7 linked regions of the Macaca fascicularis genome follow. The protein of the gene in region 1 binds, or shares a complex with, the protein of each later gene. Links are inferred from orthologs where the notes say so. Each region holds a gene or a part of one and is shown in the gene's direction. Other genes may lie near its edges. The genes, in order: LIN9, TFDP1, TFDP2, E2F4, LIN52, LIN37 and RBL2.

What was found.
Region 2: LIN9 (region 1) and TFDP1 share a complex: the UniProt entries of both Homo sapiens proteins name them as parts of the DREAM complex. The link is inferred for Macaca fascicularis from reciprocal best matches to the Homo sapiens genes LIN9 and TFDP1.
Region 3: LIN9 (region 1) and TFDP2 share a complex: the UniProt entries of both Homo sapiens proteins name them as parts of the DREAM complex. The link is inferred for Macaca fascicularis from reciprocal best matches to the Homo sapiens genes LIN9 and TFDP2.
Region 4: LIN9 (region 1) and E2F4 share a complex: the UniProt entries of both Homo sapiens proteins name them as parts of the DREAM complex. The link is inferred for Macaca fascicularis from reciprocal best matches to the Homo sapiens genes LIN9 and E2F4.
Region 5: the proteins of LIN9 (region 1) and LIN52 are in contact, whole or in part, in a crystal structure (PDB 6C48), measured with the Homo sapiens proteins. The link is inferred for Macaca fascicularis from reciprocal best matches to the Homo sapiens genes LIN9 and LIN52. Residues at the interface, in NP_001353174.1 of Homo sapiens: Leu335, Gly336, Phe338, Phe342, Leu343, Ile344, Val346, Thr347, Leu349, Ser350, Lys351, Leu353, Met354, Lys356, Lys357, Ile360, Leu363, Arg364, Asn367, Thr368, Ala370, Glu371, Lys374, Ile382, Phe384, Gln385, Tyr388, Ala389, Val392, Leu395; in NP_001019845.2 of Homo sapiens: Asp61, Met64, Leu65, Leu68, Gly69, Leu71, Thr72, Thr73, Leu76, Met77, Val80, Leu83, Gln84, Leu86, Ala87, Leu90, Asp93, Glu94, Glu97, Met98, Arg100, Gly101, Leu104, Asn105, Ile106, Leu107, Glu108, Pro110.
Region 6: the proteins of LIN9 (region 1) and LIN37 are in contact, whole or in part, in a crystal structure (PDB 7N40), measured with the Homo sapiens proteins. The link is inferred for Macaca fascicularis from reciprocal best matches to the Homo sapiens genes LIN9 and LIN37. Residues at the interface, in NP_001353174.1 of Homo sapiens: Lys99, Ala101, Ser102, Gln103, Lys104, Ile105, Gly106, Arg108, Leu109, Arg110, Leu112, Leu113, Lys114, His119, Trp121, Cys122, Ile123, Glu125, Trp126, Phe127, Thr227, Leu237, Phe238, Leu272, Ser273, Asn274; in NP_061977.1 of Homo sapiens: Tyr95, Ile97, Leu99, Phe100, Asp101, Arg102, Val104, Leu106, Ala107, Phe109, Ser110, Glu111, Asn112, Thr113, Pro114, Leu115, Tyr116, Ile118, Cys119, Arg120, Trp122, Met123, Asn125.
Region 7: LIN9 (region 1) and RBL2 share a complex: the UniProt entries of both Homo sapiens proteins name them as parts of the DREAM complex. The link is inferred for Macaca fascicularis from reciprocal best matches to the Homo sapiens genes LIN9 and RBL2.

Annotation. Positions count from the first base shown.
Region 1 is NC_088375.1:84,220,127-84,224,740, reverse strand, and holds the start of LIN9 (protein lin-9 homolog), read left to right. Parts: upstream 1-1,313; 5' UTR 1,314-1,431; coding exon 1,432-1,510; intron 1,511-4,614. UniProt on the Homo sapiens protein: Acts as a tumor suppressor. Inhibits DNA synthesis. Its ability to inhibit oncogenic transformation is mediated through its association with RB1. Plays a role in the expression of genes required for the G1/S transition.
Region 2 is NC_088391.1:104,024,774-104,028,861, forward strand, and holds part of TFDP1 (transcription factor Dp-1), read left to right. Parts: intron 1-509; coding exon 510-631; intron 632-2,032; coding exon 2,033-2,198; intron 2,199-2,666; coding exon 2,667-2,810; intron 2,811-3,293; coding exon 3,294-3,362; intron 3,363-4,088. UniProt on the Homo sapiens protein: Can stimulate E2F-dependent transcription.
Region 3 is NC_088376.1:44,769,145-44,771,951, reverse strand, and holds the end of TFDP2 (transcription factor Dp-2), read left to right. Parts: intron 1-569; coding exon 570-675; intron 676-891; coding exon 892-1,075; 3' UTR 1,076-2,064; downstream 2,065-2,807. UniProt on the Homo sapiens protein: Can stimulate E2F-dependent transcription.
Region 4 is NC_088394.1:63,212,228-63,217,077, forward strand, and holds the start of E2F4 (transcription factor E2F4), read left to right. Parts: upstream 1-1,569; 5' UTR 1,570-1,630; coding exon 1,631-1,765; intron 1,766-2,164; coding exon 2,165-2,274; intron 2,275-2,412; coding exon 2,413-2,574; intron 2,575-2,882; coding exon 2,883-2,926; intron 2,927-3,824; coding exon 3,825-3,886; intron 3,887-4,107; coding exon 4,108-4,408; intron 4,409-4,850. UniProt on the Homo sapiens protein: Transcription activator that binds DNA cooperatively with DP proteins through the E2 recognition site, 5'-TTTC[CG]CGC-3' found in the promoter region of a number of genes whose products are involved in cell cycle regulation or in DNA replication.
Region 5 is NC_088381.1:142,054,888-142,058,975, forward strand, and holds part of LIN52 (protein lin-52 homolog), read left to right. Parts: intron 1-658; coding exon 659-776; intron 777-4,088.
Region 6 is NC_088393.1:42,980,188-42,984,870, forward strand, and holds the start of LIN37 (protein lin-37 homolog), read left to right. Parts: upstream 1-1,298; coding exon 1,299-1,482; intron 1,483-1,591; exon of another isoform or gene 1,592-1,680; coding exon of another isoform or gene 1,681-1,710; intron 1,711-4,683.
Region 7 is NC_088394.1:49,422,390-49,426,907, forward strand, and holds the start of RBL2 (retinoblastoma-like protein 2), read left to right. Parts: upstream 1-1,247; 5' UTR 1,248-1,342; coding exon 1,343-1,582; intron 1,583-2,401; exon of another isoform or gene 2,402-2,511; coding exon of another isoform or gene 2,512-2,529; intron 2,530-4,518. UniProt on the Homo sapiens protein: Key regulator of entry into cell division. Directly involved in heterochromatin formation by maintaining overall chromatin structure and, in particular, that of constitutive heterochromatin by stabilizing histone methylation.

The DNA of each region.
Region 1 (4,614 bases):
TAGCCCTCAAAACAACTCTGTTACTTGCATTTTACAGATAAGAAACTGAGGCACAGAGAATTCGGTTAGGAAACCAACGTGCCGGAGATTATACAACTAGCAGCCCATCTGGATTCTTCCCATCGAGGCCCTGGGGCTCCAGAGCCCACCCTCTGCACCTCTCTAGCTACCAGTGCAGTCATCTCTCTTCTGTCCTTTGTATGCCCCAAATAAGCTTCTTCCTGACTGGTTTCTAGGCTCTCATCTTGTCCCCCACCAATCCATTTCCCATATTTTTGTTCGAAAACACAAATAGAAACATACCCCATCTTTAGGTAAAACCCGACTTTTCCACTGCTCCAGTGCACTAAGCAAGTTCAACTCCTTAGCCTGGGCGGGCCTCTGTGTCATCTTAGTAAACCGCCTTTTAACTTTGTAGTTCCTGGGATTCACCCATGTTTGCTTAGCGGTCCCATTCCTCCAAACCCATAAATTCCTGGAGAAAAGGACTGGAGCTCAATGACATTTGTTAAATGAATTTTTGAAAAGCAACAGTGCTTTATTACTGGAAAGTGTTACAGATATTGTGAATTTTTTTCCTAGGGCTTCTTTCAATTTCGTTGAATTCTCGTCCAATATCATCGTAACATTTGATCAGGTAGTTTATCACCTTGTAGTGTCACTGTTCCTTTCTGTATCCTCTCGAAGCCTCCTGTTTTTCCTTTCCTAATTCTCTTCCAGCCCACTGCACGATCTAGTGTCGAATGGATGAAACAGCTGAGCAGAACAGTTCTTTAGCTGTCGGCCTAAATGACCAACTTCATGACCTCTCAAGGTCTCGCTCCCCCGCTGCACGCAGCTCAGCTTCCAACATTCGGGAAAGGCGTGCCCGGCCGGCGAGGGGCCGCTGGGGCCGAGTCCCGGACGTCGCCACGCGCAGTGGGCTGCTGCAGCCGGCGCTCTCGGGAAAAGTGAGGGGACGGAGGCGCCCGAGCAATGTGGGTTTCGGGAACCGTGAATATTTCACTTTGCGTAGAGCCCCGTCGGGCAATGCGTCCCAGAACAGAGGGCTTCTTTCCCCCTGCCAGGGCTTCCCTCCAGTTCTCCACTCGGAACAAACAGCCTGCAGTTCCCGCAGCTGCAGCGCGGGCCGCGGAACACGCGCCTGGAGCGGGGCCCGGGCGGGACTCCGGAGCTGGTGTTGCTCCCCCAGCGCTCCGGCGCCGGGCCTCGCCGCGCGGCCTCCTTTCTCCCTTCCTCCCGCCCTGCTCGGCCGGAGGCGGCGGCGGAGGGGCGAGGTGCGGCCCCCCTTCGGCGGCACCTCCTCCCCAGGCAGGCGCGGGCGGAGCCCGGCCCGCCTCAGCCAGCCGCGGCGGGAGCAGCGCGGCGCAGCGCCGCGGGCAGCGAGCTCCGCATTCGAACCTCCCTCGCAAAGACAGTCTCCGCCCCACAATGCACCGCGGCGGGCAGCCTTTGAAAAAGCGGCGCGGCTCGTTCAAGATGGCGGAGCTCGACCAGTTGCCTGACGAGAGTGAGTAGCACCTCAAAGCACCCCCGCCTTTTCCCGCCTGCTGCCTGCCCCACGGCTGCACCGGCCGGGACGGACGGCCGTGCCCTCCGCTGGGCAGGTGGGCTGACTGCCAGCCCCACTGTGGTCCCCTAGTCCTCCCACTCCGGTGTTGCCGCCGCGTCGCCGCCTTTGTTATGGTGTCTGTGTGTTGGTTTCTGGGGTTGTGTGAGCGCCAGGGCCGGAAACCGAGAGCCCGGGAGTCCAGCCTGTGCCAGGCGGAGGCGGTGGCTGCTCCCCTGGCCCGACTCCGGCCCCCAGCCGAGGTGGGGGGAAGAGCGGCCCCCGGGCGCGGGGGCTGTCCTCGCCGCCTGCACCACTCGCCCGGCGCCGAGAGACGCCCGCCGGGGTTATGTAACTCGCCTGTCCCGGGGCCGGGGGAGGGCTCGGGCTGGGCACGGTGTGGTCCACGGCCCCTTCTTCTTGCCCCAGCTTCTGATCTTGTCCTGTCACAGCTCCTGCCTCTACGGGCACTTGTGATCTTCACTGTCCTCCCCGCCCCCCCACCGGTGTGTCCACCCCTGGAAGTGTTTCCGTGTCAGAGGGTTGGCCCCTTCCCCTGGGACCACAGGTGGCTGTGGACCTTTCCTGAGATCATCCAGCCCGGATACTCAGTGTTCAGGTAGCCCCCGTCCCGCAGAGTTTATTCTATATGTGTCTTAAGAGCCATGAAGGTACCTTTATGTATGGATGTGACCAACACAGCGTACATGTGCAGTACCCTGCCTGACACCCACCCTAGGGCATTGCCTCACCTATCCGTGTTTACTCACCCTGACATCTAAGACGTGTATACTCACTTGTGTTGAGTAAGTAAAAGCACCAATTCCGTAGTTTAAGGGCAATGGAACTTTTGTAATTTACAGTATTGCATAAATTATATGAAAAGGCAAATATGTTAGTTAATTACAAAAAAGTCCTGAATCCACATTCACTATTCAGTTTATACATATTTGTGAAAGGCTCAATCACTATTGAATCTATCTATGCACAAGGTAAATGGACTTTGAAAAAGAGAACTCAACATACCGATTCCATTTTCTTTGTGAGGTCATGTATTCTTAATAAGTTATAAAGTTAAAATAAAAGTTCAAGTTGCCAAGCTGGTGAAAAGTCGTATTAAAAGTGTTGTGTTTTAAATTTGATAGAGAGCAGCACTAAGTACCAAAGGAACTTTGTCCGTGATGATGGAACTGTTCTCTTTTGTGATGGCCAATAGGGTAGCCAAGCTACTAGCCATACGGGACATTTCAAATGTGGCTAGAGTGATGGAGGAACTGAATTTTGAATTTTACTTATATAGTCACATGTAGGTAGTAGCCACTGTATTGGATAGGGAACAGCTATTGACCAGTCATGAGTTGTATTGTTTATTTGTAGAATACAATTGATTGTGATTTATTTTATTTATTTATTTATTTATTTTGAGATGGAGTTTCACTCTTATTGCCCAGGCTGGGGTGCAATGGCGCTATCTCGGCTCACTGCAACCTCTACCTCCCAGGTTCAAGCGATTCTCCTACCTCAGCCTCCCGAGTAGCTGGGGTTACAGGCATGAGCCACCATGCCCGCCTGATTTTTTTGTATTTTTAGTAGAGACGGGGTTTCTACATGTTGGTCAGGCTGGTCTCGAACTCCTGACCTCAGGTGATCCGCCCGCCTCAGCCTCCTAAAGTGCTGGGGTTACAGGTATGAGCCACCGTGGCTGGCCTTGATTGTGACTTTGAATGCTCCCAAATGAGTGTGGACCTACTAAGCACAGTGTACTTGTCATCCGAAAATGTTTTTCGTCATCCTTGGTATCTTTATCATAAAGATGTCTTATCACCTCTTGGATGTCACAATCACTAGAGCTCCTATTTTGGTTACTGCAGTCATTCTGTTGTAATGAGAGGTGTTTTACGTGGCTTTCTTACAACTGCCGTTGGGAATATTTGCTTCATATCATCCAACATTTATTGAGAATTTACTGTGGTTCTTTGTAGGGACTTGGGATTTATATTAGGGTTCAAATTCCAGCTCCACTTTCAAATTAATATAACCTAATCATTTATATTACTTTGTGACATCTCTGGTACATTGATGTGTATTCGTGTGTATGTCTTGTTTAACCAGACTTCAGCTTTGTTGAAACCAGGGATTTTCTTTCTTTGTTATACAGTGCCACAAATCAAGTATACATAAATACTTAATTTGTATGGAATTAATGCAAAGTAACAGGTATTATTAATGAAACTGGAGGAGGGTCTTGAAAAGGAAAAGCAATTTCAATTTGATACTGGAAATAACAGTATGTTTTTTGGCCACATTTAGTCAAGGAGTCTAGCCAATATATTATTCAGTAGTCAATATAACATTATCAATAATCAAAGCTACCATTTATTGAGTATTTACTATGAACCAGATGCCATGCAAAGGATATTATATGTATTTGCTCATTTAATCTTCATTTCAATTGACGTAAGTACTCACATTTTATATGAGGAAACTAAGGCTATCTTCAGCCCAGATCTTTCCTGAGCTCCCTTTCTTGATATCTCTTGCCTATTTCACATTTCTTCTTAGATGCTTCAAAGGCCCCTAGAACTGCACGAGTTTAAAATCCACCTCAGCCTTACCCCATGACAGATACTTCTAGTGATTCGAATGATTCCACTGTGCATTCAGCTGGCAGGGCAGAAACCTAGAGATTTTCTTTGACACTTCCCTCTCTCACTTTTGTTTTCTTTTTTCTTTTTTTCCTGAGACAGGGTCTTGCTCTGTCACCTAGGCTGGAGTGCAGTGGTGTGATCTCAACTCACTGCAGCCTTTGCCTCCCGGGTTCTATCGATTCTCCTGCCTCAGCCTCCTGGGTAGCTGAGTTTACAGGCGCCCACCACCACACCTGGCTAATTTTTGTATTGTTAGTAGAGGCGGGGTTTCACCATGGCTAGGCTGGTCTCGAACGCCTGACTTCAGGTGATCCGCCCGCCTCAGCCTCCCAAAGTGCTGGGATTACAGGTGTGAGCCACCACGCCCCCGGCCACTTTCCTCTCTTTCACTTCCCCTATTTAAGCCTTTACTAAGTC
Region 2 (4,088 bases), on another chromosome or scaffold:
TCACCCTGCCTGTGCTTTTGTCCTTCGAGAGCTATTTTGGTTTGTTTCAGGCCTCTTTTTAGTACCACGGAAGGATACAATTTCATCCTCATCCATATTGCTAAAAGGAAGTAAAAGGGTGAAGGGAAAAACAGAAGCGTGCCGAAGTGCCCTGTGTGGAATTCTGTGCCGCCCCCTTCGTTAAATGACCGTTAGCGCTTTGGGGGTCACGCTCTGCCCTGTCCTGTTCTTGCTTGCTTGGGTTGTTCACAGTTTCTTGTTGCTTTTGTCTAATTGGAGAAGATGCCTGTGACTGACAGGAGGAAGATGAGCCACAGTCAGAACAGGTGTGGTGATGCCGTCACCGTGTCAAAAGCGTCCACCGCCAGACGTTTTTCCTGCCCCGTCGTGGCTGCTCGCTGTGGTTAACAAAATTCCACAGTGGCTGTGGATAGCGAACAGTTGGTGGGCGTGGCACCCTCGCCGTGTGGGCGGGGACTGACTGTCTGAATTGTCTTTTTTGACTATAGGTAATTGGTACGCCTCAGAGACCGGCAGCGTCAAACACCCTGGTGGTAGGAAGCCCACACACCCCCAGCACTCACTTTGCCTCTCAGAACCAGCCTTCCGACTCCTCACCTTGGTCTGCCGGGTGAGCACTTCCCTCCGGACCCTTAGAGTTGTAGGATTGCTTGCGGTTCGCACCTCCACGTTCTCCTGGGCCACGTGCGTGACACAGTCGCACGGTGGGGCTCCCATGCGCATTGATGTCAGCCTCCGAATCACACTCACCCATCATCGTGCCCCGCACAGGTGTGCAGTCGAGGCGCACTGCCTCGGTCACGGAGAAGTCGGGCTGGGCACTGCCCACCCTGCTTTGTGTCTGGTGTAGTGGGTGCTCTTGGAAGGGCTGGCAGCTCTTGGCCAAGACGGGGAGAAGCTGGCCTTGTACTTGCCACAGGACCTTGGAGACTTTTCATCGTCTGTGCTGGGAGCACGCGGGATGGATTTCACCCACTGCCCCTGAATGCAGCCTCTACTGCCCCTGGGGTTACGGCCCCCGTGAGTGGTCCCACCAGAGTGGCTCCTTCCACTAAAGCAAGATCTGATGAGCTGTGTCTTTCCTTAAAAAAACACACATGCAAAGCTACAAAAACCTACCTGTGTCGGTGCCCAAAGCTTCACCAGCTGGGACCGCAGGTGACCTTTCCCGCCACGTGGGGACTGACCAGAGTGTAGAGTTGGGCTTTCCCTCTGTGTGAAGAACACTTAGTGGTTTGCACCTGTTGTCAAGCGGCTATCACAGCCCAAGCCGTATGAAATTATAGCCTGCTGAAATTTGTCCTAAAAATTCCCAAATGTACACTGAAATGTCCCATAGTTCCTGATTCTGGTTGCCCTCTTTAGAAAAGTGATGCCTGTGGCTCACACCTGTAATCCCAGCCCTGTGGGAGGCCGAGGCCGGCAGATCATGAGGTCAAGAGATTGAGACCATCCTGGCCAACATGCTGAAACCCTGTCTCTACTAAAAATACAAAAAAATTAGCCAGGTGTGGTGGCGGGCGGGCGCCTGTAATCCCAGCTACTTGGGAGGCTGAGGCAGGAGAATCGCTTGAACCCAGGAGGCGGAGGTTGCAGTGAGCCAAGATCGTGCCACCGCACTCCAGCCCACTACAGAGCGAGACTCCATCTCAAAAAAGAAAAAAAAAAAAAGAAGTGCTTGGTGTACTGATAGGCCTCTCATATGCTGAGTACTGATAGGCCTTCCATATGCTGATTCGGGTCCTGGGGACGCCTCCCGTTTTCCCTGACACTTGGAAGGACAGAGGTGCAGCCTGCCAGGGAGACACTCGCTTTCTGACCTGCAGGAGCACTGGGCCTGGGGGCTGGGGCTAGGTGGTCCTGGCCTGCTCACGTGTTGGATCTGCTGCGCCCGTGGGATGTGGCCCCTTTTTGTGCAGCTCATTAGAGCTCTCAGGTAAAAGCATTCCTCGATTCAGACTGATGCTCAGGAGGGCTGACGGTCGCTTCTTTTTTCCTTTGTATTTTGAAGGAAGCGCAACAGGAAAGGAGAGAAGAATGGCAAGGGCCTGCGGCATTTCTCCATGAAGGTCTGCGAGAAGGTGCAGAGGAAAGGGACCACTTCCTACAACGAAGTGGCGGACGAGCTGGTCGCGGAGTTCAGTGCTGCCGACAACCACATCTTACCAAACGAGTCAGTAAGTGTGTGCTGGGGGCCGAGAGGCCAGGGTAGCGGAACCAAGTGGTGTGGCACGTTTTACTCTTTTAATATTGGGAACAGTTAAAACCATACAGAAAATTCCAAGTACAGCATGACAGAATTTTTCCCAGTCCATTTGCTGGCATGATGCTCTGTCAGCGTCAGTGAGCGAGCACGTGGGCTGGCTCTGCACATCCAGCGGCCCAGAAATGCAGACGTGCCCTCCTCGCCAGCTGGGCTCGACACCCGAGGGCCCCCAGCTCCCCTCCTGGAACACACTGGGATTCGCACAGCCCTGTCTTGCCCTGCATCATCTGTAGGGTGGGAGTGCTCCCTGAGGACGTGTTGGGGTGACAGCTCTGTGAGCGGGGTGCCCCTTCAAGCCGGTGCACGTGGCCTACAGTTTAAGGTGGGATCCACAGGCTTTTTTGGATCATTTGGAAAATCCACTCCCTGTCATCCGCAGGCTTATGACCAGAAGAACATAAGACGGCGCGTCTACGATGCCTTAAACGTGCTGATGGCCATGAACATCATCTCCAAGGAGAAGAAGGAGATCAAGTGGATTGGTCTGCCCACCAACTCGGCTCAGGAATGTCAGAACTTAGAGGTGGCCCTTCAACCTTGATTTCCCTTCAAGTCTGTGTAGATGTGTTTGTTGTCCGTCACTCAGAAGGGTCTGGGCTCCATGCCCTTATGCTCTCTGTGTCCAGACGGCTGGCAGACGGTCATGCAGACGTCTCCCTGCGTTTCTCAGTCTCGGCTGTCAGGGGAGGGAGCATGGTTGGCCCAGACCCACTAGAGTGTGTTAAACTCTAGCACAGGTTAATTGTGAATCCTAGTTTGTGGGATTTTTGTTTTCTTTTTAGATACCATAGTTAAATCCAAGAAATGAGAGGAGAGGGGAAAAGGTATAGTTTAGAAATGGAAGAAAAACTCACCTGTATTTTGTGGCATCTGCTATGTCTAGATTTGTCCATATCCCTTCGATTACATTCAAGGTAAACATAGGTAACACTGAGGATGCGGGTTGTAAAATGCACTGTATGGAACAATCGTGATGATTCTCTACATGGGGGGTTTGTTTTTGAAGGTGGAAAGACAGAGGAGACTTGAAAGAATAAAACAGAAACAGTCTCAACTTCAAGAACTTATTCTACAGGTAAGAGAATACATATCTTTGGAGGCAGGGTAATTTTTATTTTACTAATTTAGTTTTATAACAGCAACATACTGCCTTGGGTTACGCTCCTGTGTGGCAAATTAAATGACTGCTTTAAGATTCTGAGTGTGAGTTCATCTCATAGGTGTTGAATGTGGGCCGTGTTCCCAGAGCGAGGTTGTGTATGTGTGTGCGTATGCATGCATGCGTGCGTGTGTGTGTGCATGTGTGTGTGCACCTGCGTCCATGTGCCTGTGTGTGTGCATGTGTGTGCATGCCTGCGTGTGTGCCTGCGTGTGTGTGCACGCATGTGTGTGCGTGCCTGCGTGTGTGTGCCTGCATCCATGTGCCTGTGTGTGTGCATGTGTATGTGTGTATCCCTCGTCACAGTGTCTAAACAGCCAAAAGACAGATGGAGGGATGACTTCATGCAAAAGCAGCATTTGAAAAATCCCCTCAGAGGTGCTTAACCCAAGGCCCAGGTGCCAGGCGAGGCATGTAAAACTGTGGTGGGCGCAATGCACCTGGGTCTTGACAGTGCTGATCAGGGCCCTGGAGCTGGCCTTCCCCACCTCCCACTGAGTGCTGAGGGTGGGCGGCACCCCTGGGGGCCCCGTGTCTGGTGTGGAGGGGGTCGTGTGCAAGGTGCTCAGTGCAGAGCTGACTGCTGCTCTGGCCGAGGTGTGCTCGAGCCCTCCCAGAGGGGATGGTGTGGCAGCCATGGTG
Region 3 (2,807 bases), on another chromosome or scaffold:
AAATCTTGTCAGGAAAAAGAATAGGTATTTGATGAGTAGCAGCATTGAGTTCACCAGCAGCAGGCACCTGAAAAGACACTGCGGCAGGGGTTTTGGCCAAAACAGATCTGTCTGCCCTCTATGCAGGGTGGCCTTCTTACCTCATGTATTTCTGATTTGATTTTCTCTTTTCCCACTTCTGGCTTTGGCTGTCAACACCACAGTCCAGGTCTTTTGTGGTGAGGGCAGCCCAGGCATTGAGGATGGTACACTGGGCTGCATCCCATGGGCTGTGCTCTGGAGGGCTTATCTAAGAAAAAGAGTAAGAAAGCGCCTGTGAGTGTTTTCATTTGAATACCTTCTCTCCATAAGCTGCCTTCCCGTATTTTTTTTTCCTGCTCTTGTGTTCTAGAGTTTCTTTTTCTTCCAAGAAGATGAAGAAACCTGGGTTCTTCTCACAGCAAGAGAATTGTCTCGCTGTCATGAAGAATAAGCTTAGTTCTTGCTCTTCTGTGCTTTCTTCAGACTGTAACAACAGCAGCCACAAAACTTGCAGGACCGACATTTTTTGTTCTCATTTTTTCCTTTAGATATCTCCACAGGACCTTCTTGGTTAAATCAGGGACTACTTCTGAACTCTACCCAATCAGTTTCAAATTTAGACCTGAACACTGGTGCCACCTTACCCCAGTCAAGGTACGTATTTTTTTCAGGGTTAGAAAGGCAAACCCCAGAGCCCTGACTGTCTGTGTAGGGGTGAGCCGGGGTCATGTTACTGCCAGCACAGGTCCTGCTGAGCAGGTTTGTGGCAGATCTCACCAATGGCACCTCCTTCCTATGTTTTTATTCCTATATTTTACAAAACTGTTTATACCACATTAATGAGCCTGTGTGTTTTTAATTGTTTGCTAGTGTAAACCAAGGGTTATGCTTGGATGCAGAAGTGGCCTTAGCAACTGGGCAGTTCCTGGCCCCAAACAGTCACCAGTCCAGCAGTGCAGCCTCTCACTGCTCCGAGTCCCGAGGCGAGACCCCCTGTTCGTTCAATGATGAAGATGAGGAAGATGATGAGGAGGATTCCTCCTCCCCAGAATAAAGACAAGAGAAAGCCTACGTTTCAATATGTGATGCTCATGTGTGTTTGTAGTGTGAGCTCTTGTTTTTGAAATGATTGCTTCAGTCTTTGCCTTTGTTTGCACTGTGTGTTCAGTGAAAACTAGAGAAACACAATAAGCAAATCACATGAAGGCTGAGATGATTGAGATGAAAGTTAACATAGTGTGAATGAAAGTCTGGCCAACAGAGCAGTAGATGATATAACAAACAAAGCATGCTTTCTGAGGAGCTAGTGGGGATAATTCCTGAAGAGTTGGCAGTGTGAGTGTGCTCATTTATCTTCTGTGAGGTGGGATTTTTGTGTTCCTCACACCCATGTAATTATTCTTAGAATTGAGATTGCTACACAGAGCAGTCCTTGACGATCATGTTTCTGACATTTCTCTTCCCTGCCTGGACTGCCTTTGACAAGGCGGAAATGAACATGAAAAGTCCCCACGAGAGGGGAGCTGTGTAGTGAGGGATACTGAGGGCAGTCCTGTGGCCGAGGGGCACAGATTGAACTGCTGAACTAGTTGGAGGTCTAGTTAAGGTGCTTTATGCATCAGCTGCCTTAGACAGCTTCTAGAAAGGAGCAAGCGCTACTTCTTAAGTACTTAAGTGACATTTAGATAATTTATAGTAAAACTGAAATTATTATTAGCCAATGCATTGATGCATAGAATTTACTAGGGCTACTTCTGGAAGCCAAAATAGAATAGCATTTCCATGTGCATTAAATACTTTGCCAGCACTGCCTTTTGCCAGCATCCTAAATCTGGAGTTTTATAAAGAGGGAAAATGTATCTTTAGGTTAATCAAAGCTATGCATTTCATATAGCTTTTTCATTTAAAACAAGACAAATTCCTATGACCAAATTGCTTGCCTACAGTTCCCTGCAGCAATTGTATGCTCTCACCCAGTGTGCAATTTGTGAAGATGAACCAAATGTCATTACTTTTGTCTTAAAGAAAAGTCTATTTCAAGAATATGAACAGCAATGTTTCCTTCTACATGTCACCTTTTTTCACATTTTCATTAGTCAGAATGACCTTATTGAACCTACTCCTGGGGTCAGTTGCATTTCAAACTAATCCAATATTTAGTGTTTCACAGAAACACTGGAAAACTGAACACTCCTACTGCCTGGATATATGGTAGTGCAGTTATGTTGTTTATGGCTCAAGATGTCATTAGAAATACTGCAGTGGTGTATTCACAACTGCTTCTTCTCTGAAAGAGTGTAGGGACATCTGCCACCATGGCCAGACCCTGAATTTCACATTAAGGCCTTGGAAAGGAGCAAATAATAATGGGAAAATTAACTCCAAAACTTTGACCTGAATCATGTGGATTTATCCCAAGATGATGCTAGATGCACCAAGCATGGCCCAAATTGGTTCTTTTTTAAATCCCTTGGGGGAAGTGCAGGCTTCTTCCTGTGGTGCCTCTTTCTAGCCCCACCACCATGTTGACAGTGAGCCTGGTGAGGAGGAGAAAGCTTTGGCTAGCTAAACATGTTTAATAAGGCCATAAAAACTGAGAAAGAAAAACATTCAACTTTAGCTGGAGCTCCTTTGATACAAAAGTCTCATTCTGTCAGAAATAAGCCATAGTACAGACTCAGAGATAGAGGCAGTTTCTAGAGAACTTGGTCTTATCGTGGGTTCTGGAGCATACCTCTCAGACTAGTCAGGAACACCGGGGAGGTGACAGCAGGTCCCCAGGGACC
Region 4 (4,850 bases), on another chromosome or scaffold:
TTTGTTTTAGACAGGGTCTCGATCTGTCACCAAGGCTGGAGTACAGTGGCACCATCATAGCTCACGGCAGCCTTCTGGGCTCAAGTGATCTGCCTGCCTCAGCCTCCCAAAGTGTTGGGATTACAGGCGTGAGTCACCGCAACTGGGCAGCTGTGTTTATCTTGAGAGTTATAGGGAGCCAGGGAAGGGACTATAAGGTGGTAATAATTTAGTGGATGTTCAGTCCACCACCCAAATCCACCCTTCAGGACAGAAGTGCTCATTCTCCAGCTGCCAGGAGTGTAGGCTGCTGAGATCAATATTGGGGTGCAAAAGCATGGTACCATCACGTGAACATAAACTCTTCAGAAGTGCTACCCCAATTTCAGAGATCCTAGTGGCATAGGCTGAGGCCTATAATATAATTGCATCTGCCCAATTCTGCTTGTCTTACTCCCTTAAAGGTGTGGATCCTGACCAGGTGTGATGGCTCACGCTGTCATCCCAGCATTGTGGGAGGCTGAGGTCTGAGGATCGCTTGAGCCCATGAGTTCGAGACTAGCCTGGACAATATAGTGAGACTCTCATCTCTACAAAAACTAAAAATAAATGAGCCGGGCATGGTGTGTGCATGCCTGTGGTCCCAGCTACTTGGGAGGCTGAGGTGGGAGAATCGCTTGGGCCCAGGAAGCTGAGATGGCATTGATCTTGCCACTGCACTCCAGCCTGGGCAACAGAGTGAGATCCTGTCTCAAAAAAAAAAAAAAAAAAAAGAAGTGTGGATCCCCAACAAACTTGCTGCAAAACCCTGTCTCGAGTCCCATTTCCCATAGAACCTGACCTAAAAGAAACAATAATAAATAGTAACAATGTTACAAGTAACAAAATGACCCTAGCAAACTTTCCTACATGCCAGAAATGACTCTGAGTGCTTTACTGATATATACACATAGGTAAATACGTTTGCATTGCCTGAAGTGTATATAACCCCATAGTCTCTGAGCACTGTAGCGGGAGGACAAGATGAGCGAAAGATGAGGCTAGGACCATGGATGGAGAGAGGTGGACAAGGTAGATATAGTTAGTGCTTGCTGTTTGGCAGGAAGTGAGGGACAGGAATAGATGGGGTGACCCCAAGACAGTAGGGGAACCTTTAGGAACATTTTTGATGTGGCAGTAAAATGAGTTTGAAATATAAAAGAATAAATAAAGAGAAAAAAATTTAAAAGGAACTGATTTGAGGGAACAGATTGGATTAGTCAGGTAGTGTGGTCTTGTCTCCCGAGATGGGGACTGGGCAGAGTTAGTGATGTTGGGGCAGATTGGCAAGGAAAGTTCCGATGGCATCCCTTTCTCTACTGCCAGGGCTGCCCACTGACGCCCTCCTCATTCCTCCCTAACTTCATCCCAACTCCCGGTCTACCCAGGTAGTTTTCGTCTTATTCGGCGGCTGGACATTTGCTAATGGTCCCTGAAGTTTTGCGGTTGCACCCACAGACAGCAATAGCGCCGCGTTCCCTGGAAGACGCACGGGGCGGAAGCGGAAGCAGCAACGCTGGCTCCGGCTGCCGGACGGCCAGGAACGGAAGCGGAAGTGGCGGCGGCGCCGGCCTGGCCTGGCCTGGCTGAGGGGAGGCGGCGGGCGGACGCGATGGCGGAGGCCGGGCCGCAGGCGCCGCCGCCCCCGGGCACTCCAAGCCGGCACGAAAAGAGCCTGGGACTACTCACCACCAAGTTCGTGTCTCTTCTGCAGGAGGCCAAGGACGGCGTGCTTGACCTCAAGCTGGTGCGGCCCGGGCTAAGGGGCGACAAGGGAGGATGGTGGACCAGGCCTGGGCCGGTAGCGGGAACCCCGGGGGCGGCCCAGCTGGGTCCTCCGAGAGCCGGCCGCCATCGTGTGCTTTCTCACAGGAGAGAAGCCGGGGAATGTTTCATTCATTCGGCCGAGGCCATTGAGCTACAGCTATGGGCCAGGCTCGGGGCTCCAGGTGTTCGTCCTCGTGGCCCTTCCTGGCTGGCGAGGAGAAGAGCTGCCTATGGGACAGAGCTGCGGGCCTGAGCTGCAGTAGCGCCTGGCAGGCACTACAGGGTTGGAATCCAGGTTACTCCCTTCCCAGACCACGTCTCAGGGTGGCTGGGGGTACACCCGAGAGTGGGGCTGAGCATTCTCCACTCTGTCTGCCAGGCAGCTGACACCCTAGCTGTACGCCAGAAGCGGCGGATTTACGACATTACCAATGTTTTGGAAGGTATCGGGCTGATCGAGAAAAAGTCCAAGAACAGCATCCAGTGGAAGTGAGTGGGGATAGTGGGAGGGTAGTAGAGTCTCCCACCCAGAAGTGTCGGGGGTGGGGTGGAGGGTGCCAAAGAAGGCAGGGGCCGTGGGACCCAGAGTTCTCAGCAGTCCCTCTCAGCCCCACTCCCTGGGCTCAGGGGTGTGGGGCCTGGCTGCAATACCCGGGAGATTGCCGACAAGCTGATTGAGCTCAAGGCAGAGATCGAGGAGCTGCAGCAGCGGGAGCAAGAACTAGACCAGCACAAGGTGTGGGTGCAGCAGAGCATCCGGAACGTCACAGAGGACGTGCAGAACAGCTGATATCCTCCTGGCGTTCCCTCCTGGGGGGAGTGGGCAAGGGGCCCTCTGGTTCAACTTGCCCTGGGCAAGCTCCCTGTTCCTCTTGGGAGCTTGTCCTGTGGCCCCTGGCCATGGCCCAGCCTCAGGCTCCCTCCTCAGAGCCTCTCCCCTTCCAGTCTTAGCCTGTGATCCCTCCCCCAGTGGACCTGAGTCCCCAGAACTTTCTCTGAGGGGCCTCTGTGTCAGACCTTGGCTAAAGAATTGGGTCTTTTTTGTAGTCTGCCATCTGTCACCATAGGGCATCGGCCATTCTCCTTAACCCTCACACTTTGGCCTACGTCACTCATGAGGACATCTGCAGATGCTTTGCTGGTGAGCAGAGCCTGGGTAGGGGTGAGGGGGTGGGCTGGGCTCAACCAAATCCCTGAGCACTGGGCTCAGTGTCTCAGGAGAGTTCCGTCTCTTAAGAGGGTTTCTGGGGCCTGCTCAGAGAGGAACCAGGCAGGGTAAGTCTTCTGTCTGAGTGTCACTGGGACCCTGTGGAGGTCAGCTATACCAAGAGGGTACAGGAATTCTGGAGTGGGTTCCTGGGTCTGTTCCCAACTGTACTGTTTCCTGGATTTGGCTTCTTGAGTATGATAGAGGTACAAGGGGGAGAAAGGGAGAGAGGATATGTGTGTATTTGCTTGTGTTCAGGCTCTTACATGCAGGGCATGGGGGTGCCCACTTCCAACTTGTTAGTTTAATTGCATTGTGAATGCAGGATATGTTCCTTTTTTTTCTTTCCTTTTTTTTTTTTTTTAAAAAGAGACAGGGTCTTGCTATGTTGCCAGGCTGGTCTTGAACTCCTGAGCTCAAGCTGTCTTCCCCGCTCAACCCCCTAAAGTGCTGGGATTATAAGTGTGAGCCACTGTGCCCCGCTGATGTGTTTCTTCTCCATCATGTATCCTCCTGACTGGTCATGGGAAAGGGATGTTGGCCTTGGCTAGAATACCTTCACCTAGGGAACAGCCATCGGTGGAAGAGTGAGGTGCCTGTGGCCAGTGATATTTGACTCCACATACTTGAACCCAGATTTCCTGGTTACTGACTCTGGGCTCTCAGGAAGAGAAGAGCTTTAGCTCTGCCCAGCCACTATGGGGAATGGGTGAGGTCCACTGTCTAGTCCCTCAGAGACCATGATCTCCTGCCTTGCTCCAAAAGACAGGCACCTCTGTTCCCAGCTCAGATTGAGCCCATGGGCTCTGACCCATTCTCCATGTCATTCTAGGAGATACCCTCTTGGCCATCCGGGCCCCATCAGGCACCAGCCTGGAGGTGCCCATCCCAGAGGTGGGTGCTTAGCCCAGGCAGGCGGGGTCAGCTGAGGGCGGGTGCTGGCTGTGGAGACTGATAAGTCCCGGGTGGGGCAGGTAGGGGAGGCCTGGAGTTTGGGGTTATCTAGGAGGATGGGCATCCTGGGTGGGAGAGGACACTGGTCCTGACAGAGTCGGGCAGGAGCCAAGCCTGCTTCCAATTCTACCCATCTCCCATCCCTTACCACCCATCTCTAGGGTCTCAATGGGCAGAAGAAGTACCAGATTCACCTGAAGAGTGTGAGTGGTCCCATTGAGGTTCTGCTGGTGAACAAGGAGGCATGGAGCTCACCCCCTGTGGCTGTGCCTGTGCCACCACCTGAAGATCTGCTCCAGAACCCACCTGCTGTTTCCACGCCTCCACCTCTGCCGAAGCCTGCCCTAGCCCAGTCCCAATCCCAGGAAGCCTCACGTCCAAATAGTCCTCAGCTCACTCCCACTCCTGTCCCCGGCAGCGCAGAAGTCCAGGGAATGGCTGGCCCAGCAGCTGAGATCACAGGTGAGGCACCATGGGAGCTTGTGACAGAGGCCCAAGAGGCAGTATCTCTGTGTTGTGAAACACCACACTCAGAGTTGGAAGAGACCCTTCAAGATGGGGATTGTCTTTTTCCTGACCTCCACCTAGCCTTCCCTTGCTGTGGTAATGAATGAGCCTTTTTTTTTTTAAATTGAGACGGTGTCTCACTGTGTCCCCCAGGCTGGAGTGTGCAGTGGCGCAATCTTGGCTCACTGCAACGTCCGCCTCCCGAGCTCAAGAAATTTTCCTGTCTTAGCCTCCCGAGTAGCTGGGATTACAGGCACCCACCACCACACGCAGCTAGCTAATTCTTGTACTTTTAGTGGAGACGGGGTTTCACCATGTTGGCCAGGCTGGTTTCGAACTCCTGACCTCAAATGATCCGCCTGCCTCGGCCTCCCAAAGTGCTGGGATTACAGGCTTG
Region 5 (4,088 bases), on another chromosome or scaffold:
ATGTGAAATGTTCTTTAAAAAGTATCTTGGCCGGGCGTGATGGCTCATGCCTGTAATCCCAGCACTTTGGGAGGCTGAGGCAGGCGGATCACGAGGCCAGGAGATCAAGACCATCCTGGCTAACACGGTGAAACCCCGTCTCTACTAAAAAAATACAAAAAAACAAATTAGCCAGGCGTGGTGGCGGGCACCTGTAGTCCCAGCTACTCGGGAGGCTGAGGCAGGAGAATGGCGTGAACCTGGGAAGTGGAGGTTGCAGTGAGCCCAGATCGTGCCACTGCACTCCAGCCTGGGCGACAGAGCGAGACTCCGTCTCAAAAATAAAAAAAATAAAAAAAAGTATTCTAATGCTATCACATTAACTGTGTGCATTATAGATGGTTTGGGAAGACACTTTACTAAAAGATATTTTACTACAATTTTTTTATTGTAAAAGTAAAGAAGAAAGTAAAAAAAAGAAAACCAACAAACCATAGCCTTACCACTAAGAGATAACCACTATTAACATTTCATGTGTTTCCTGGCCCCACTTTTAGTCCCTTTATGTGTCTATGTGTGTGTTTATATTTATACTTGCATCCATTCATGTACCATGTACACAGATAATGCTTCTTTTCTTTCTTTTCTTTCTTTTTTTTTTTTTTTTTTTTTGAGACAGGGTCTCCCTCTGTCACCCAGGCTGGAGTGCAATGGCGCAATCTTGGCTCACTGCAACCTCTACCTCTCGGGCTCAAGCAAGTCCCCCACTTCAGCTTCCCAAGTAGCTGGGACCACAGGTGTGAGCCACAGCGCCTGGCCAGAAATGCTTTTTTAATATAACTGAGATTGTTGTGTGTGTGCGTGTAGTTTTAACTTGTGCTTTAAAAAATTTTATTCTATCTTAAGCATTTTCCTGTGTCATTAAAGGTTCTACCACTGAAGATTTTTGAATAGGAAAGATACACACCTTTAGGAGGCATTAGTGCACAGGATAGAATAGGATGGTAGAGACAGGAGGCAGGAAGTTACAGTGGGAATCCAGGATGAAGGATTGAGAGTTTGGATGGTGGCAGTAAGAATGGGAAGAAGTACACTGACAATAGATTTTTCAGATTTGGAATTTTTAGGAGTAGGTAAATGTCTGGATGGGGATGTTACGGGATAAGCTGAAGTTAGAGCTTACCATGATGTTTTAGCCTAATTAATGACAGGGAAGTCAGAAGGAGGCTAGATGCCTGCTTAACAACAACAACAACAACAAAAATCACATAATTATTTTACATGCTCCTTTGTAGGAAGGCATCTTTATTTTCTTAGAAATAAGTAAATGTCATTTGTAGAGGTTAGAGGTTAGTGTTATTAATAAGATGTCTAGTTCAGTCATATTACCTAGGCAACAGGTAATGTTTTAGATAGTGAACGGTGAGTTATTTGATCTGAAAGAAATCAATAGGTGAAATAGGATATCCATAACTTCAGAAATTGACTTGTGAAGTCCCTATTTTCTTTGGCTGGTCATTAGGCTGCTAAGTAGAATGACTGACTTTTGTATAGTTTTCTTTTCTTTGAGACAGAGTCTCGCTGTGTCACCCAGGCTGGAGTGCAGTGGTGCGATCTTGGCTCACTGCAAGGTCCACCTCCTGGGTTCCTGCCATTCTCCTGCCTCAGCCTCCCTAGTAGCTGGGACTACAGGTGCCCGCCACCACGCCCGGCTAAGTTTTTGTATTTTTAGTAGAGCTGAGGTTTTATCGTGTTAGCCAGAATGGTCTCCATCTCCTGACCTCATGATCCGCCCGCCTCAGCCTCAGAAAGTGCTGGGATTACAGGCATGAGCCACCGCGCCCAGCCTTTTGTATAGTTTTCTTCCACAGTAGTGCTTTTTCATTCGGGTACCTACCTATGAACTTTTCCTGAACTTTCCTACAAGTTTAGAAAGTTGTCATGGCCTCTGTATACGGTAGACATCCAGTTCTTTGTTAACTGGAAAAAAGTTTCAGAAGTTTAAATCTGAAGTAACAGGAATTGGTCCAAAATATTTGTTGTTGCTCGTGTTTTAAGTAAGTGACATTGGATTATATCAGCACTGGGATAACTCTCGTTAGGTGTTATGACTGCAATTTACATGCAATTGGAGATTAGTGATTGAGAGGGAAACAAACTGCCAAATTATCTTCCAAAAAGGTACTCCTCACTCCATATCCTTGCTAATAACAAGTATTATAATTTTTTAAAGTCATTGCCAACTTGATAGGCAAAATATTAATGTGTTGTTCTAATGTTCATTTCTTCTATTGTGAAGATGAGCTTTTTTTTTTTTTTTCATGTTTCTTGATCCTATCTGTTGACGAGGGCTGGAAGTTAAAGATTTAAGTATAAATTTAAATTATTTTAACCTGAAAAATAAAGCCAGGGAACTTGATTCAAAAGCACCCTAAAGACATTGTGTTGAAATCTGTGTCTCAAATACCGATGGAACCTTATCCTTGTTTTCTTTGTTTTGTGCATTACTTTACCATCTTGCCATGGTCATTAGCTTTGTACCTATTTAGGTTACAGCATAAAATCCAGGAACTCCACCTTGAAGGGATCATGGTTATTCTTCTTAATTAGAAATTGTCAATTTAGCCTTAAGTATTTTGTTTTTTAAAATGTTTTATGATACTGTGAAATAAATCATGCTGTTATTTCTCATTTTTCCTTTGGTTAACAAATTAGGATATACAAATCTTCAAATTACCTTTAAGGCTTGTAAACATTCAAATCTTTTATCCGTTAGTCATTTCATAAACCCAACATTGCCTCTGAAATGGCTTTACACACAAAGAGGATTTTACCATAAAATGCTTGTGGTAGTTTATTCTCTTCTGATTTTTTGTAGGGGAAGGGGAGAGGAGAGTAGGCAGAATATAAATTAATTTGGATGGTGTTGGTTTCAAAGTAGCATTCCATATAATTCTGCAGAAAATATGATAAATAAGAAAATGGGCCAGGCACTGTGGCTCATGCCGTAATCCCAGCACTTTGGGAGGCCAAGGCGGGCAGATCACCTGAGATTGGGAGATTGAGACCACACTGGCCAATATGGTGAAACCCTGTCTCTACTAAATACAAAACCTAACCAGGTGTGGTGGCACATGCCTGTGGTCCCAGCTACTGGGGAGGCTGAGGCATGAGAATCGCTTGAACCCAGGAGATAGAGGTTATAGTGAGCCAAGATCAAGCCACTGCGCTCCAGCCTGGGCAACAGAGTGAGACTCTGTCTCAAAAAATAAAAAATAAAGTACATAGTAAAACAAAGTTCAACATTTGGGAAATAGCAGGTCAATTACAGTGTTACCCATACAGGAGAATACAATGTAGTCATTAAAAAACATTAAAAGGACTGGCCACCGTGGCTTATGCCTGTAATCCCAGCACTTTGGGAGGCCAAGGTAGGCAGATCACTTGAGGTCAGGAGTTCGAGACCAGCCTGGCCAAGCTCGTGAAACCCCATCTCTACTAAAAATACAAAAATCAGTTGCTCGTAGTGGTGGACACCTGTAATCCCAGCTACTCTGGAGACTGAAGCAGGAGAATCACTTGAACCCAGGAGGTGGAGCCTGCAGTGAGCTGCCAAGATTGTGCCACTGCACTCCAGCCTGGATGACAGAGTAGGACTATGTCTCTTAAAAAAAAAAAAAAAGCACTAAAGGGCATTTCATGCCAGAAAGGTTTCATTATATATAAGGATAATAGCAAGTGACAAAATGCAGAATATAAAATTTTACAGCAGGTATCTTTTTTTTTTTTTCTTTTGAGAGCATGAACATAGACAAATGGCTAGAAGGAAATACATCAGTATGTTTTAATGGCTATCTTGAGTGGTTTTTAAAAATTTCTAAATTTTCCAAATTTACAATAAACATTCTAGGCTGTTGAATAGGAAAAATACTACTTTAAAAAACAGGGAAAAGTTGTATGCCATTTTAGAAACAAAATTGTACTTACATCTCTGAATTTTCTAGGCAGTTAAATTTTTGAGCTCTTCTGTGAACTGTTTCTAAATAAAAATGAGTAGATCCATTAATAACAATTGATCAGTTTATACAAGTGATAAATAGCAAGGTGAA
Region 6 (4,683 bases), on another chromosome or scaffold:
ACAACTGGTCTAGTGCTTCCATTTCTAGGGGCTGTTACCCTGTACTGGTAGTCGTGAATTCAAAAACATAACTTTCCTACTGTGGGCTTCAGTATTCTCATCAGAAGTGTAGATCACAATGCTACCTCCTAGGATTTATTTGGACCAAGATGTGTGATAAATCCAAGTTTCCCGTTTTCTGAAGGAAGTGTTGTCTGCAAAAATAAAAATAGTCAAGAGCTTTCTCAGAGAATCCTTCCTTGACCATCCATCTTATTTAAAATTCAATCACCACCTTGATATTCCTATGTCCGTTTAAGGCTACACTTTTTTTGTGGGTTTTTTTTTTTTTTTTTTTTTTTGGTGGGGGGCTGGGGATTTGTTGTTGTCTGTTTTTCGAGATGGAGTCTTGCTCTGTCACTCAGGCTGGAGTGCAGAAGTGCGATCTCAGCTCACTGCAACCTACGCCTCCCGGGTTCAAGCGATTCTCCTGCCTCAGCCTCTGGAGTAGCTGGAATTACAGGGGCATGCCATCAGTCCCGGCTAATTTTTGTATTTTTGGTAGAGACGGGGTTTCACCATGTTGGCCAGGCTGGTCTCGAACTCCTGGTCGCAGGTGATCTGCCCACCTCGGCCTCCCAAAGGGCTGATACTTACAGGTGTGGGCCACCATGCCCTGCCCAGACTATATTCTTTCTCCTATTACATTTCACTTAGAATGTTTTACTTGTTTACTGTTTATCTTCCATCCTTTAAAAGATAAGCCCTATTAGGGCAGGGATTTTTGTCTGTTCTGTTCCTCAAGGTGTCCCCAATGCCTAGAAGAGTGCCCGGCATACTAATAAATATTTGCAAAATGAATGAAGTTGTACCTGCAAAGAGATTAACTGGTACCTGTCACCTAGAGAGTGCTCAGTGAAAGGGAACCCAACGTTATTTTACATTAGTCTTCCTCTTAGGGATGAAGGGACTCCAACGGTTGGTTAAATATGGTAAAGAGCTAAATTGGTGTTGCTCAACCCTTCTAACACTACAAGTCCCGGGAAGCCTCGCGATGCCCTAATCCTTTGTTTCCCACCGTGCCCCGCGCGGCGCAGGCGCTGTTACTCCGGGTGGGTCTGGGAACCTGGAACTACACCTCCCAGGAAGCTTGGTGGTCGATGGTTTGTTTCCGGAAGCAAAGCCCCAGGAGGGTGGGACCTAAAGCTGGGAGACTACGGAGGCAGCTCTCAATTGGTCAGGATGTAAGATTGACGACTGCATTAACTAATAGGAGCAAGCTGCTGCCGAAGGGGCCCGCCCACAGAAGGGTGGTGGCCATGGTCCAGGCTGAACACAACCAAAGGCGGAGGAGCTGTGGCCCACGAAGCTCATCTTTGAACTGTCCCCGCCCGCCTCCCGCCTTGATTTGTGACCCTAGGCCCTTTGGGGCGCCTCTGACCCAGCTAGCCAGATCCTGGACCCAAACCATGTTCCCCGTGAAGGTGAAAGTGGAGAAATCAGGTGAGGACCCTGACGTCGGGGGCCTGTCGGGACCATCGGGTTGACAGGGTGTGGAGTCCCGGTAGAAGGGAGTATCGCGGAAAGAGGACTGCACGACTTTTCCCTGCAGCCCACCTGACAATCGCTGTATCAGGCAGCGAGCGTTGGCTGCCACCTTCACACCCTCCCGGTCTGCGCTTGAAGTCGCTTTGAGATTGAATGGTGGTGGCTCAGGCAGTGCGGTGCGTGGTAAGATATGGGGAATCCTGAGCCGGTAACTCTGAGAAGGGCCCTTTTCTCTTTTTTTTAATCTAAATTTTTTAAATATTTAAGTAGAGACGGAGTATCGCTATATTGCCCAGGCTGGTCTCGAACTCCTGACCTCAAGTGATCCTCCCGCCTTAGCTTCCTAAAGTGCTAAGATTACAGGCGTGAGCCCCCGCGCCCGGCCGAGAAGTTCTCTTTTCTTGGCTTCCCCTCAGTTTCCCCATTTCCAGCAGTGATCAGTCACACATACTTGCTGTGAGCCTGAAGTACAAGCACTCTTAATCCTCACAGTCACTATATTCCAGTAATCCTAGGAAATAGGAATTGTGGTCATTGGGGAAACTGAAACTTAGATCATTTTGGGTTGGGGCAGAGCTGACCGGATCGCAGGCCTGGCATGGTAAGGGCAGTGGGAGGGGTGCAGAATTTAGACAGAAAGATAATAGTAAAATGATGTAGGATGTCCCATGGCAAAAGTGTTATCAAAACAAAGTGGCAGGCCAGGTGCGGTGGCTCACGCCTGTAATCCCAACACTTTGGGAGGCCGAGGCCGGCAGATCACTTGAGGTCAGGAGTTTGAGACCAGCCTGGGCAACATGGCAAAACCCTGTCTCTATAAAAAATACAAAAAAAAAAAAAAAAAAAAAAAGAAAGAAAGAAAATTAGCCAGGTGTGGTGGCACGAGCCTCTAGTCCCAGCTACTCAGGAGGCTGAGGCAGGAAGATCGCTGGAGCCGGGGAGGTGGAGGTTGCAGTGAGCTGAGATCACACCACTGCACTCCAGCCTGGGTGATAGATTGAGACCCTGAAAAAACAAACAAAGAAAAAACCAAAAAACGAAGGAAGAGAGAGAGAGAAAGAAAGAAAAGGGAGGGAGGGAAGGAAGGAAGAATAAAGGAAGGAAAAAGGAAAGGAAAGGAAAAGGAAAGGAGAAAGAAAGAAAAGGAAGGAAGAAAAGAAAGAAAAAGAAAGAAAGAAGAAAAGAAAAGAAAAAAAAAGAAAGAAAAGTGAAGTGGGTCTGACCACAAATGATGGTGAGGGAAGGTATACATCTCTTAGTACCAGGCTGAGGAGTGCAGACTCCACCCCTGGGTGCTGTAGAGTCATGGAAGGTTCCAATGGAAGGTTCCAAGCAGGGGAAGATCAGGGTCAGGTTTGTTATTTTTCTGGAAGATTCCCCTGGCTGCCTTGTGGAGGGTGGATCAGAAGGGGACGCTGAGGTGGGAGCCCAGGGGGAGCAAAGGTCTGGACCAGCATGGATAGAGTGGAGAGGAGGTAGGTGGGAGAGACACTAGGGAGGCCTAGTGGACAGGTCATGGGATTGCTGGGCTGGGGTAGGGGAGAGAGAGGGGTATTCATGGTGAGGTACAGGGAGGAACTAGGCGACAGTGAGGCGACCCTTGAGAGGGAGGCTTCAGGCCCAAGTCGGGGGTTCAGGAGAGAAGCTGGGCCTGGGGAGAGATCCGTACCCTCTGCATCCGCCCAAGGCTTTGCTGCAATCTCAGCTACTCCCTTCCCCACCCTCACTCTGTCTTTCCTCTGAGCTATGTTTGAATCCCTGTGTCTCCTGACCTTCTCAGGAAGTCCCTGGACTGGTCAGGCAAGTTCCCAGGTGTCCCCTCCTGGCTCTGAGCACTAGAGCCAGAGCTCCCACCAGTCAGAAAGGCAGAGCAAACACCTCTCAAAGGTAGGACAGCATAACATCATCACTCCCTCAAGTTCTGTGATGATGGGAGGCAGCCACAGGCTCACTGGGCAGGAGGGTGGGCCTAGATCTCATTTCCTGAGGGGAAAAAAAAAGTCCAAACAGGATGTTTTAGGTGAAATCTCCCAATTTTGGCCGGGCATGGTGGCTCATGCCTATAATCCCAGCACTTTGGGAGGCTGAGGTGGGTGGATCATGAGGTCAGGAGTTTGAGACCAACCTGGTTAATATGGTGAAACCCTGTCTGTACTAAAAATACAAATATTAGTTGGGCATGGTGGCACACGCCTATAGTCCCAGCTGCTTGAGAGGCTGAGGCAGGAGAATCACTTGTACTCGGGAGGCAGAGGTGGCAGTGAGCCGAGATCACGCCACTGCACTCCAACCTGGGCAACAGAGCAAGACTCTGTCTCAAAAGAAAAGAAATCTCCCAATTTTTAAATGTCAGCTCATTCAGATTGAATTCAGATTTAAAATTATACCACTGTTGGCCGGGTGTGGTGGCTCACGCCTGTAATCCCAGCACTTTGGGAGGCCGAGGCCAGCGGATCACTGAGGTCAGGAGTTCGAGACCAGCCTGGTCAACATGGTAAGACCCCATCTCTACTAAAAATACAAACATTAGCCAGGCATGGTGGCGGGCTCCTGTAATCCCAGCTACTTGGGAGGCTGAGGCAGGAGAATTGCTTGAACCTAGGAGGTGGAGGTTGCAGTGAGCCAAGATTATGCCACTGCATTCCAGCCTGGGTGACAGAGCAAGACTCCGTCTCACAAAACATAAATACATTAATTAATTAAAATAAAGTTATACCACTGCCTCAACCAGATTCTGCACTCAGGTTGAGCCTCTGTCTCATAACTTCAGCTTTGGAACCAGACAGCCTGGGTTCAAATAATCAGCTCTGCAATTTCTTTGCTGTGTGCCTTTGAGCATGTGGCCTAACATCTCTGTGCCTCAGTTTCATTCTTTTTAAAATACGAATAAAAATAATATCTATCTGAGCCAGGCTCTATGGCACGTGCTTATAGCCCCAGCTATTTGGGAGGCTGAGACAGCAGGATCACTTGAGCCCAGGAGTTCAAAACCAGTCTGGACAACATCATGAGATCCTTTCTCAAGGAAAAAAAAATCACATCTACCCCTAAGAGTTATTGTGATAATTCAGTGAGTTATCATGTATAATACATAGGTATTTAAACCTTGCCACTGGGACAGGCACAGTGGCCCACACCGGTAATCCCAGCACTTTG
Region 7 (4,518 bases), on another chromosome or scaffold:
GAGGCCGAGGCGGGCGGATCACTTGAGGTCAGGAGTTCGAGACCAGCCTGGTCAACATAGTGAAACCCTGCCTCTACTGAAAATATAAAAATTAGCCGGGCGCGGTAGCACGCACCTGTAATCCCAGATATTCAGGAGGCTGAGGCAGAAGAATCGCTTGAACCCGGGAGGCGGAGGTTGCCGTGAGCCAAGATCGTGCCACTGCACTCCAGCCTGGGCGACAGAGCCAGACTCTGTCTCAAATTAAAAAAAAAAAAAAAAAAAAAAAAAAAGGACTGTCTGCCCTTCAGAGTCAGCTACCAGAAAATTCGGAGACTGGGGTTTTTAAAGAATGACTTGGCGGGTAGGGGGCCAGGGAGTGGCGAATGCTAATTTGTCAGGTGGGAGGTGAAATCTTAGGGGGTTGAAGTGGGCTCTTGCTGTCTTCTGTTTCTGAGTGGGACTGTAGAACTGGTTGAGCCAGATTATGGTCTGAGTGGCGCCAGCTCATGCATCGGAATGCGGGGTCTGAAAAGTATCTCCAGCACCAATCTTAGGTTTTACAATAGTGATGTTATCCCTGAGAGCAACTGGGGAGGTTAGGAATCTTGTAGCCTCTGGCTGCAAGACTCCTAAATCATAATTTCTAATCTTGTGGCTAATTTGTTAGTTCTACAAAGGCAGACTGATCCTCAGGCAAGAAGGGGGTTTGTTTTGGGAAAGCTTTGTAAAAATCTTTGCTTCAAAGTGAAACTACAAATTAAATTCCTCCTGTAGTTAGTTGGGTCTTCGCCTGGGAATGAACAAGTGCAGCTCGGAGGTGAGAAGCATGGAGTCATTTAGGTCAGATCCCTTTCCCAGTGGTAACTTTCTCACTGTTAGGATTTTTGCAAAGGCAGTTTCGTGAAGGTACACAGACAGGCCCTTGCTATTATCCTGGTTTTTTAGATAAGGATATCCAGGCAATGAGGAAGTTTTACTTCTGGGAACAGCCTGGATGCGAAACCTTCACACGTCAGTGTCTTTTGGACATTTTCTCGTCAGTACAACCCTGTTGAATGTTCTCACGATGGGGAGGTATGTGCTTAAAATGCGGGGAAGGTGCTTTTATTTCACCCCTGGTGAAACTAGGCGAGCTAATTTTTTTAAACATGATTTTTGGCCCCCTTGAACCGTCGGCCTGGACTACATTTCCCAGCAGGCCGTGCTCAAGACTACGGGTGCCTGCAGGAGGTCAGCGTCGTTGGCAGCGGCGCAGGCGCAGGCGCGGAGCGGGCGGCGGACGGGCGGGCGCTTCGCGGTTTGAATGGCTGCGGGCCCGGGCCCTCACCTCACCTGAGGTCCGGCTGCCCAGGGGTGCGCTATGCCGTCGGGAGGTGACCAGTCGCCGCCGCCCCCGCCTCCTCCTCCGGCGGCGGCAGCCTCGGATGAGGAGGAGGAGGACGACGGCGAGGCGGAGGACGCCGCGCCGCCTAACGAGTCGCCCACCCCTCACATCCAGCAGCGGTTCGACGAGCTGTGCAGCCGCCTCAACATGGACGAGGCGGCGCGGGCCGAGGCCTGGGACAGCTACCGCAGCATGAGCGAGAGCTACACTCTGGAGGTGCGCTCGCGGGCGGAGGGGCGCTTCCGGCCTAGTCGGCGTGAACCGGTGCCTTCCGAGCCGCGTCGCGCGCCACGAGAGACCCTCGGGCGGGTTGCGGGATCCCAGCCGGGAGAGGCGTGGGGACCCCCTCTGCGCTATTCCGAGGCACTTAGCCGCTCCGAGGGCGAACCTGCTCTCGCCGCGCTTCCCCGCGGCTTCCGAATGGGGAACGCGTTTTGCCCTAAAGTAACATAGGGAAGCTGAGATCGCGCTGGGGTCCCGATGAGGAAGATGGGTGTGTGTGGCCCATCTGACCCCCCGCCCGCCTTGTTAGTAGAATGAACTAGTGTCGTTATCAAGACCGCACGGAGAAGGGGAGGGGACTTGCCCTTATTTGCACCGCGATTAACCGGGCTGTGGCACCTGGGTCTCCAGGCGTCTCCGTCTGTTCGCTTCCCCCTGTTAACCAAATTGCCTTTGCCCAGACGTTGCTGGCGTTAGAGTCAACGAGCTGATGCGTTTTGGTCTGTGTTTACGTCTGTGTAAACAAATTAAGACTCATTTTCCCCCAGGCCACATGAAATGAGCCCTCCGCCGACCCGGATATAGATACATGCTCCCATTTGTCACTAGGCTCAGGATTGTGGCTACCTCGAGGGCTTTTTGGTCACCCCGGGCATTGCACAGGACTCCTGTTGTCGGGATCCGGGCGTGTTAGGTCGCAGCCTTCGGACTGGGCTTGTGGATGAGAAAAATGGCCATTCTAGCCAGTGACTGTTAGTTCTGTAGGCACCTCCCTTTCATGGGCCAATGGGAAGTGACACGGAAGTACGGATTGTTTATCAGCTCTTCTACTGTGTGTGTGTGGCATTTAAACCTGAGGCCATTTAATTTCTCAAGTAGTTTTATAATTACTTTGGATAAAGAGGGGGGCAAATAGGCCCAGGATGCAAAGCCTAACCAAGGTATTATTTAAATATGATGTTTTTGGCTATGTGTACTGATGAGTGAGGTTATTTTAAATTTGTATTTGCATTAATAGAATTTTGATTCAATTACGATTTCCCTCTTTGAATTGTTATATCTGCAGAAGAAAGATAGTGTATGGTGGCTTTAGAACCCGACAGACCTGGGTGACTGAACAATTTACTTAACCGCTGGAAAGTTGAGTTTTGTGATCTTTAAACTGGAGATATGTGTGTTTACCTCACAGAGCTGTTCTGAAGATTAAATAAGGCAACAATGTAGTTTCTGGCACATAAAGCACCCATATGGACGGTGCTTTCAAGTTTCCTAAGCTCTTTGTATATTTACATGATCTGGCTGAGTAAACTATGTTCCTGTCCGTCTCTCAGTGCCTTTCTGTAGTCTGGCAAAGAGAAGGACTGGTTGACTTTTTTTTTTTTTTTCTTTTTTTTGCTTTTTTTTTTTCTTTGGTAAAGGGCCTTAAAGGCTTCTAAACTAGCTTTTATTTTACCCTCAGGATGATCCTGTAAATTAGATAGAACAAGCGTTATCACCATTTAGTTGAGGTATGTCAACTCATAGTGGTTAAGTTGTATGAAGTCCAGTGATACATGAGCAAATACCACGTAAGAGCTGGTTAGTAAATTATTTTTGAAAACACATGTTTGATTACTCAATTCTTTTGATTACTGAGACTTTAGTTTCAGCTTCTTAGCCCAGTTTATTCAGTAAATGATTTACTCAGTAAAATATTCATCAAATATTTCTTGAGCACCTGTTCTCAGTGCTACACACTGTTCTCAGTGCTGGATATAGAGCATCAAACAAAGCCTAAAAATACCTGCCTTTGTGGGGCTTATAGTGAGCTACGCTGTGAGATAATGTGGGATGTCATTCTCATGGGAGTGTAAGGGGAAATAAAGCTCTTATGATATTTAATACAGAATACTGGTTATGGAAATTTAATTTGATTCATTGTATTTTCTGTGCATTTTTAACCTATAACTCATTCTTACAGTCCTCAGCCAAAAAAATGCAGCCTCTGAGACTGTTTAGTAATTTTCCCACTGTGTTACAGCTACTGTATGGCAGAGCCAGAATTTGAAACCAGATCTATTTGACCCTATAAGATATGGCCACGAGATGTTAATTTTGAGGATAACTATTTTTTAGTATTATGGAATTTTTCAACAAATATTTTTTAGGACCAAAGATAAACTAGGCAGAGTCTACTCTTTGCATAAATTGTTTAAAAGAACTTCCCGCTCCGTTTTATCATCTAAGTACGGTAAAATTCTCACAAGACTAATTCTTTTCTTCTTTTTAGGAAAGATGCAGCTGTAGACTTTCTTTTTTTGTTGTTGTTGTTTTCTCTCTGCCATCCAAGTAGTTGTGAATTTTCTAGAGCCAAAATAGAACATTATAGATTATCTTTTAAACCCTTTATTGAAGCACAGGATAATGCTATGACTGACTTAACTTTATACTTTGTAAGAGATCTTGATAGAGTAGAGAAATGCAGTAGTTATGCATCTAAATTTGCTTTTACATCATAAATCAAGAATATTATGAAACCATCTCCCAGAGACATATGTAATACATAAATCTTGGCTGTTTTTTTTGACAATAGAACATCTATGCTATTGATACATATAAGTGGGTTTGTAAGATAGTCTATGTGTAAATGTGAAAAATGAAGAATTTCCAGTTTTTCTCATTTTCATTTAGACCAGTAATGAATACAGTGAAGCCAAAGGACAGCTTCCATCCTTCCTCGCTTTTATAGGAAGAGGAAAGTTGTATCACTTCTTGAATAAAAAACGATTGTGAAGATGATCTTTTAGAAACAATGCCTTAAAAATTATTATTTTTGAATGTATCTGGTAGGGGATCCACAATAGTCTCATTTGGTTATAAAAATAAATTTTATGTATTCATGTATGTGTTTTGATTAGGTATAAAATTAGTGGCTGAATATCCATTCAAGC